Linked DNA regions of Macaca fascicularis. The protein of the gene in region 2 interacts with the protein of the main gene of each other region in a pairwise test. Links are inferred from orthologs where the notes say so. Each region holds a gene or a part of one and is shown on either strand. Other genes may lie near its edges.

The links.
Region 1: the proteins of RPA1 (region 2) and RPA4 interact in binary tests that used the Homo sapiens proteins (3 or more experiments, as listed by UniProt). The link is inferred for Macaca fascicularis from reciprocal best matches to the Homo sapiens genes RPA1 and RPA4.

Annotation. Positions count from the first base shown.
Region 1 is NC_088395.1:103,604,322-103,608,410, reverse strand, and holds RPA4 (replication protein A 30 kDa subunit), read right to left. Parts: upstream 2,801-4,089; 5' UTR 1,860-2,800; coding exon 1,074-1,859; 3' UTR 204-1,073; downstream 1-203.
Region 2 is NC_088390.1:1,945,552-1,949,628, reverse strand, and holds the start of RPA1 (replication protein A 70 kDa DNA-binding subunit), read right to left. Parts: upstream 2,801-4,077; 5' UTR 2,694-2,800; coding exon 2,661-2,693; exon of another isoform or gene 2,653-2,660; intron 1-2,652. Other genes in the region: SMYD4 (SET and MYND domain-containing protein 4), read left to right, coding at 3,690-3,734. UniProt on the Homo sapiens protein: As part of the heterotrimeric replication protein A complex (RPA/RP-A), binds and stabilizes single-stranded DNA intermediates that form during DNA replication or upon DNA stress.

The sequences.
Region 1 (4,089 bases), on a different chromosome or scaffold from region 2:
TAATGGTCAATTATTTAAAAGTCTCATATAATTTATATAATCTACACTAAAATGTATTGTTAGAACTAGGCTATAGCATATGTTCTTGGTATTATATATAGAAAAGAAAAAAATCTGGATAATTAAAACTATTAATCCTTAAGGATATAAAACAAAAATGCTTTTTCAAATGTACTTAGAAAAAAAATCACACAGGAAAGTTAAGATTTTATAAAACTATTTTAATAAAACATTTGAATAAATTTGTGTTAAACTCAGGAAGTTTCATATTCCCATGACTTGCTTCCCTAACCTCCTAAAAATTACCTTGTTATACATAAAACAGAGCATTTAGTAAAATAAATAATACACCAGCACATCAAACTTACAGAAACTCTGGCATCCATTTACCATGCAAGTGCAATAAATTGTAATTTCATCCAAATACCACGTCATGTATGAAATAATCATTAAACTTCACCACATTAAAAAAAAAATTCAAAGATAACCTGGCAAAAATGATTTATTTAAACATAGTATAATCTTATTTTAAGAAAACATAAATTGATAGTAATGAGAGCAAATCACACATAAATGTTTGAACTGAGCATTAGAATTCACAAATTAATATCTTCAGCTCATTTGAATTAATGAAGTACTAAATACTATATTGAACAAGAGATAATATCATTATACGCTAAATCCAAACATGGAAATAACTCTAACATAAAAACAAGCAAGACTTTTTGTTGTTGTTGTTGTTGTTTGGTTTTTTTTTGGGAAAAGAAGCTCCAACACAATTAAATAATACATTTCTACATTTTCTGTAGTTTTTCTTCCCCTCAAGTCATCATGTTTCCATTAGCTTGCTAGTAAATCCTACAGAGTTGTCAATTTATCCATCACCATCTCTCTCTGAGCTTCAAATATAGAAAATCTGAAGAGTTCAAAGCAGTTAGAAAAGCAGCGAGTTGACAAAGAATGCCACTTGAGATTTTTTTTTTTTAGTCCTACTTCCTAAAAAGTCATCAGGTCAAAATTACTCTCAGATGGATGCAGGGATCTTTGGAAAAGGAAAGGATGTTTTCCCTGCCTCAATCAGCAGACTTAAAATGCTCCTGATCCACAGTGGGATAGATGTGGCCCTCGACCGTCAGATATTCAATCGCTTCCTTGATGGCCTTGAGGCTAAGGTCGCAGAGCTGAGCCTGGAGCTCATAGATGCTCTTCCCTTCCTGTTGAGGACACTCATGAATCAAACGCAGCACTTCGTCCCGGATGAAACTGCGGTGACTCTCATCGTTATCCCCAGCATCATCCACTTCCGATGGAAACACAGGCACACTTTCTACAGTGGTATCACGACGGGCTTTATCCAGCATCATGTGTGCATTGACCGTTTCCAGAATATGCACAGTGAACTCGTTCATGTCCTCTAGGACATGAATTTTCAATACCTCAAGGGTCTTTGTTCCCGTGGGACATTTGAGGATACCAAACACTTTGACATATGCTCCGACTGACAGTGGAGTCACTTGCTTGACTTTTTCTCTACCAAACCACTGTCGGGCCTCGATTGGTTTCGCAGTCATATCATCAATTTTGTAACAAATGTGATTTGAAGCCTTCTCTGCCCCTCTGATTACCCCCACGATGGAGACCTGGGAAACTATAATTCCCCTAACCTTGAACACAGTGTCAAACACAGTAGAGCTGAGAAGCTGGTTCACATTACACGGTACAACGTCCTGAATTCGGACCTTAGGTCTTTGGGTCTTAATAGCAGGAGCTGCATCTCTCTCACACAGTTGGTCACTGCCTCCACTCCCTCCATCAGCAGCAGAAATGCTGCCATAGCTCCCAAACCCACTGTTACTCATCTTCAAGACAGTTCAGGCCGAGGAGAAGGTGGGCTTTGGCTCGTCTGGGGCTCCACGGACAGCTTTGAGTTCTCCACAGAAGGCTTTGAGCTCTCCACAGAAGGCTTCAAGCTGTCTGAAAGGCTACGATTGAATGCTGGGAGCCTGAGGACGTGACAAGCTTCACGCTACCTGTGGACCAATCAGCTACCAGAATGCGTCTGCTTCCAGCCAGTCAGGGTCGGCCACCTTCTCACCTGACGGCATAATCCTTCCCTGTGTGTCAGTGGTTGCTACATTCTAAAAGCCCCACACGAGGGGAGCCCTGTTGCTTAGCTGGTCAAAGCGCCTGTCTAGTAAAAGTCCCACGTGTAATTTCAAGCAAGCCTTTCCCAACATCTCTATAAAAATGCATTTTTACTAGTCCCCCTCTTCATTTCTTAATGCTACAACTTCTACAATTACTTTTAAAAGACTCATTTATTCATTCATTCAAACAACAATGCAACAGAAATTTTAGGAGCATGAAGTGCTTGGCAAAACGGTAGAGTGCTGTACGTTATGTGCAGGGGGAAAAATGTACCACCGTGATTACTGTTCTCAAGAATTCACGTCCCCCGTTCATTCAAACCGTTAAAACCAGGAGCATTGGGCCGGGTGCAGTGGCTCACGCCTGTAATCCCAGAACTTTGGGAGGCCGAGGCAGATGGAGTACTTGAGGTCAGGAGTTCAAGACCAGGCTGTCAACGTGGTGAAACCCCGTCTGTACTAAAAATACAAAAATTAGGCAGGCGAGGTGGTGCACACTTGTAATCTCAGCTACTGGAGAAGCTGAGGCAGGAGAATCACTTGAACCCAGGAGGCAGAGGTTGCAGTGAACCGAAACAGCGCCACTGCACTCCAGCCTGGGTGACAAGAGCAAAACTCCATCTCAAAAAAAAAAAAAAAAAAAAAAAAAAAAAAAACCTAGGAGTATTTTTTAAGAAATAGCAAGACAATCGTCTTTCAATGATTATCATACTCTAAGATAAGTCACATCTTAACACTGGCTTTTTAAAATTTTTTGTTGTTTTAAAATTGTAATTTTCCAGGTATTTTTTGCCAAGTGCACTATAAATAAGTAATTAATATATTTCAATTTATACATAAATCCAAACTGAATGACTGAGCTCTAAATTATTTTCAAGGCTCTGTGGAAAGGACAGAAAAGTACAAGATTTACGCCTATTACATATTAGGAAAAACATGGATAAAATCACAGTAAGTTTTTTATATACTCTTACGGAGTAAATTCTGAACTTCTAGCAGTTATACAAATAGATCCCAGATTTTTTTTTTTTTTTTTTTTTTTTTTTTTTTTTGAGACAGGGTCTGGCTCTGTCTCCCAGGTTGGAGTGCAGTGGCGGGATCTGGGCTCACTGCAACCTCCACCTCCCGGGCTCAGGTGATCCTTCCACCTCAGCCTCCTGAATACCTGGGACCACAGGCACACACCACCACATCTAGCTGACTTTTTTGTATTTTTAGTAGAGACGGGGTTTCACCATGTTGGCCAGGCTGGTCTCAAACTCCTGGACTCAAGCAATACACTTGCCTCAGCCTCCTGAAGTGCAGGGATTACAGGTGTAAGCCACCATGCCCGGCCAAGAATGTTTTGATATTTTATTGAAATTTTGTTTTTCTTTATAAAATATTTTATTTTGGGTGTTATTGATTTAAAGGCTTAATAAAGGAACCACAGTTACTGGAACCCACCATTGGCAAGTAACCTCCTAACAATCCTTTGTAGTTAGTTAATAGCTTAAATTAGTAGAGTTTTGAGGAGTTTATTAATGCTCTCATTTCTTTTACTGGTTAAAATAATTCACTTTTTGCTATCTCAAAATTACAGAAATATGTGGAGTATATCTAAAACTTATAGAAGAACATGAAGTTATATATACCTTTCAAGTTTTAAAAGAATAAAATTGACCAGGCACGGTGGCTCACGCCTGTAATCCCAGCACTTTGGGAGACCGAGGCAAGTGGATCACGAGATCAGGAGTTCGAGACCAGCCTGGCCACTATGGTGAAACCCCTTCCCTACTAAACATACAAAAATCAGCCGGGCATGGTGGTGCGCGCCTGTAGTCCCAGCTACTCAGGAGACTGAGGTAGAAGAATTGCTTGAACCTGGGAGGCGAAGGTTGCAGTGAGCCGAGATCGTGCCACTGCACTCCAGCCTGAGCGACAGAGCGAGACTCCGTCTCGC
Region 2 (4,077 bases):
TACTAACTTGTTATAACGTGTCTGAACAAGATCTAGTGTGAGGCACTAAGAAGGATTAGACATCAATTTGAAAAGAGTCCCATGGGAGCAACACGAATTCTGCTAAAATGGAAGCAACAATGAACACCAAATTCAAGGTGAAGCTTGGGTGGAAGAAGGGTGAAATCACCAATGCTTTATGAAAGAAAAGTATATGGGGACAATGCTCCAAAGAAACCAGCTGTTTACAAATGGATAACTCATTTTAAGGGACAAGGCCAGGCACAGTGGCTCATGCCTATAATCCCAAAGACTTGGGAGGCAAGGCAGGAGAACTGTTTGGAGGCCAAGAGTTCGAGACTAGCTTAGGCAAGATGGTGAAACCCCATCTCTACACAAAATTAAAAAAAAAAAAATTAGCTGGGCACGGTGGCATGCACCTGTAGTCCCAGCTACTCGAGAGGTTAGGGTGGGAGGATCACTTGAGCCCAGGAGTTAGAGGTTGCAGTGAGCTATGATCGTACCACTACACTCTAGCCTGAGAGACAAAAAACGAGACTGTCATTTAAAAAAAAAAGACTACGGCCCGGTGCAATGGCTCAAGTCTGTAATCCCAGGACTTGGGGAGGCCGAGGTGGGCAGATCACTTGAAGACAGGAGTTCAAGACCAGCCTGACCAATATGACAAAACCTCGTCTCTACTAAAAATACAAAAATTAGCTGGGCGTGGTGGCACACGTCTGTAATTGGGAGGCTGAGGCAAAAGAATCGCTTGAACCCGGGAGGTGGAGGTTGCCACGAGCCGAGATCGCGCCTCTGCACTCTAGCCTGGGCAACAGAGTGAGATCCTGTCTAAAAAAAAAAAAAAAAAAAGAAAAGCCCTAGTAAGTATACAAAGCGACAAAATGTAATACTCAAGGGCACATATGTTCGGCCAGGCGAGGTGGCTCATGCCTGTAATCCCAGCACTTTGGGAGGCCGAGGCAGGAGGATCATGAGGTCAGAAGATCGAGACCATCCTGGCTAACACGGTGAAACTCCATCTCTACTAAAAATACAAAAAATTAGCTGGGCATGGTGGCGGGCGCCTGTAGTCCCAGCTACTTGGGAGGCTGAGGCAGGAGAATGGCGTGAACCCGGGAGGTGGAGCTTGCAGTGAGCCGAGATCCTGCCATTGCACTCCAGCCTGGGCGCCTGGGTGACAGTGCGAGACTCCGTCTCAAAAAAAAAAATGTTCAAATGCCCCATGGAAGAAGGGAGGAGTATGAAAAATACCAGAAATCTAAATGTAAAAAAAAATGTGGGGGTGACTGGAGAGTAGGCTGAGAGTATGCTGTGGATGGGAATGGTGGCAGGAACGTATGCTGAGTGGAAGTGAACAGCCCAGGCAAAAAAAAAAAAAAAAAAAAGATGGTGCCAGTATGGATGGAAAGAAGCCGGTGGGCTTGGTAGATCTACGCGGAGGTACAATACACTTCGCTTGGTGAGGAACTGGACGCCCAGGTGATGGACAATGTAGGAGGAATGATTTCTCAATCTCTGGTTAGCACTGAATTGAACAGATAATGGTACCATTCGTGGAGATAGGGATCAAGAGGCCCAGACTTAGAAAGATAACGAATTTGCTTTGGGATATGTATATTGAACTTAAAAGCCTCTGAAGCATGGAATAAGCAGATAGATTATAGAAGTTTGTCTTTTAGAGTAAAGGTGGCTCAATACAAAGAAATTTGTCACGCCTGTAATCCCAGCATTTTGGGAGGCCGAGGCGGGCGACACAATGGAGGTCTGGAGTTCGAGATCAGCCCGGCCAACATGATGAAACCCTGTCTCTAATAAAAACACAAAAAAGTAGCCAAGTGTGGTGGCGCACACATGTAGTCCCAGCTACTCGGGAGACTGAGGCAGGAGAATCGCTTGAACCCGGGAGACGGAGGTTGCAGTGAGCCGAGATCGCGCCACTGCACTCCAGCCTGGGCGACACAGTGTGACACTCACACAGTGAGTGTCGCCCAGGCTGGAAGAAAAAAAAAAAAAAGAAATTGCCTTTGGGAGTCAAGAGGGCCTAGAGGGAGCCTTGAGTCAACAAAAATTTACAAAGAGGGGCCTGCAAATAAGACGGGGATAGACCCGCCAAGCTGAGCCACTAAAACCCAAGGAAGAGGGCGTGAGCAGAAGAAGCAGGGCTCAAAAGCAAACGCTGCTGAGAACTCAGGTAAGCTGAAAACGGAAAAGGGCTGGATTTAGCAACTTGGAGGACACTGGTCCCTTGAGCCAGGGTTTTCTACAGCGATCAAGGGGATGCCTGGAGTGGGTTAAAGAGTTGATGAGAGGCGAGGAAAGGAAGTGGCTGAAACCAGACAAGAAGTTTGGCTGCGGGGCAGGAAAGGAGAAGAAACAGAAAGTGGCCGCAGGTGGAAGATCCAGAAAAAGGCAAGCGTTTATTTACTTTGTTCTTAAGTAGGAAAAACGTGAGCATGTTTCAAAGACGATCAGAAGAATGCTTTGAGGAGGGGGTGATGACACTAGACGGGGGCTCGGCGGGTCCCCACCGCCCCCCGCCTTCTCCTCCCCTCGCGTTCATCCCCCGTCGCCCCGGGCTCCCCTCCCCCTCTCCACTCCGCGAGGCTCGGGGCCGCAGCCATCCCGCACCGCCGGCCCGGCCCCCGGCACCTCCTCACCGCAATGGCCCCCTCGCTCAGTTGGCCGACCATGGCTCCGCCGCCCCGACTCCCGCGCGGACCCCGCGACAGCTGGAGCTTCCCCACCGGGGTCCCGCGCGCTGCGCAGTTATTGGCCCGAGAAGCTGCGTGCGCCGCTCCCGCCCCCGACGTGCGCGCGTCCCAGGGGCGGGCCCGGGCGCTGCGCAGCCGCCACATTGGCCGAGGCGCGGCGCACGTGACTTGCTCGCGGGCCCAAGGGAGGCCTGGCGCGGAACACGGGGCGCGGGGCGGGGCGCCGAGGGGCGCGCCAGGAGCTGCGCGGGCGCGGGGAGGGAGTCCGCGGCCCAGTTCCGGGCGCCTGTGAGCGGGCTCACGAGGCTTTCTCGCCTCGGTTTCCGGCCAGTGCACGGGTTGGTAGCCCAGAGGAGGTTAAAGCTGTTCCCTGAGACCTCAGCTGCTAAATGGAGTCGCAGCAGTGACCCGGTTCCTCCAGCAACGCGGGGCTGACTTCTCGACCGGGGCCAAACCCTGAGCTTGGCACCGTTGAGGGGGGGGTCTCCGAAGGGGAATCAGACCTGGTCCCTGTCCGTGGAGAAGAGGACAGTGTGTGGGGGCACTTTATGCCGTGAGTAGCCCCAGCGCCAGGTAGACGTGGTACAGGCCCCAAGAGTGTTGGAAATCAGGGAAGCCTTCCCAGAGGACGTGCCGTTTGAACCGAGTCGAAGAACGAACCTGTGGGAATTTTCCAGGTGGACTCCATAAGCCAGGGTAGGATTGGTCCGGAAAGCACGAATAGCCTCTGCCAAAACCTTGGAGAGATGAAATAGCCTGGCAAGCCGGGGATCGCAATGAGTAGTTCAGTATGCAAGGCTGCAGAGGAACAAGTGAGACCTGAGAATTAGAAAGTCAGCCAAGGGTCAAGTAAGGACGGTTTTGTCCTGGGCTTCCTGATATGCTTGGAGTAGCGTTGATGAATTTAAGGCAGAGCACTGACTTCTGTCTCAGTGTTGGAGGCTGGATTGAAAGTTGCGGGGGGGTGCCAATGGCATGGACACTAATTATGACACTCTAGGAAGAATGCCAGACGAGATGGTGAGGACTTAAACCGAAGGAATGACCTGGGGGTTGAAAGAGAACGCTGAACTATATGAGAGAGAGAAATACCTGTTAATTGAATAGTTGCTGGGGTGGGTGAGAAAGAAAAATCTGGGGAAGTGTCTCAGGTTTCAGACTTGAGAAACTAGGGGGATCAGGCCGGGCGCGGTGGCTCACACTTGTAATCCCAGCGCTTTGGGAGACCCAGGCTGGAGGATCACCTGAGGTCAGGAGTTCGAGACCAGCCTGGTCAACATGGTGAAACCCCCATCTCTACTAAAACTACAAGAATTAGCCAAGAGTAGTGGCGCACTCCGTAATCCCAGCTACTCCGAGGCTG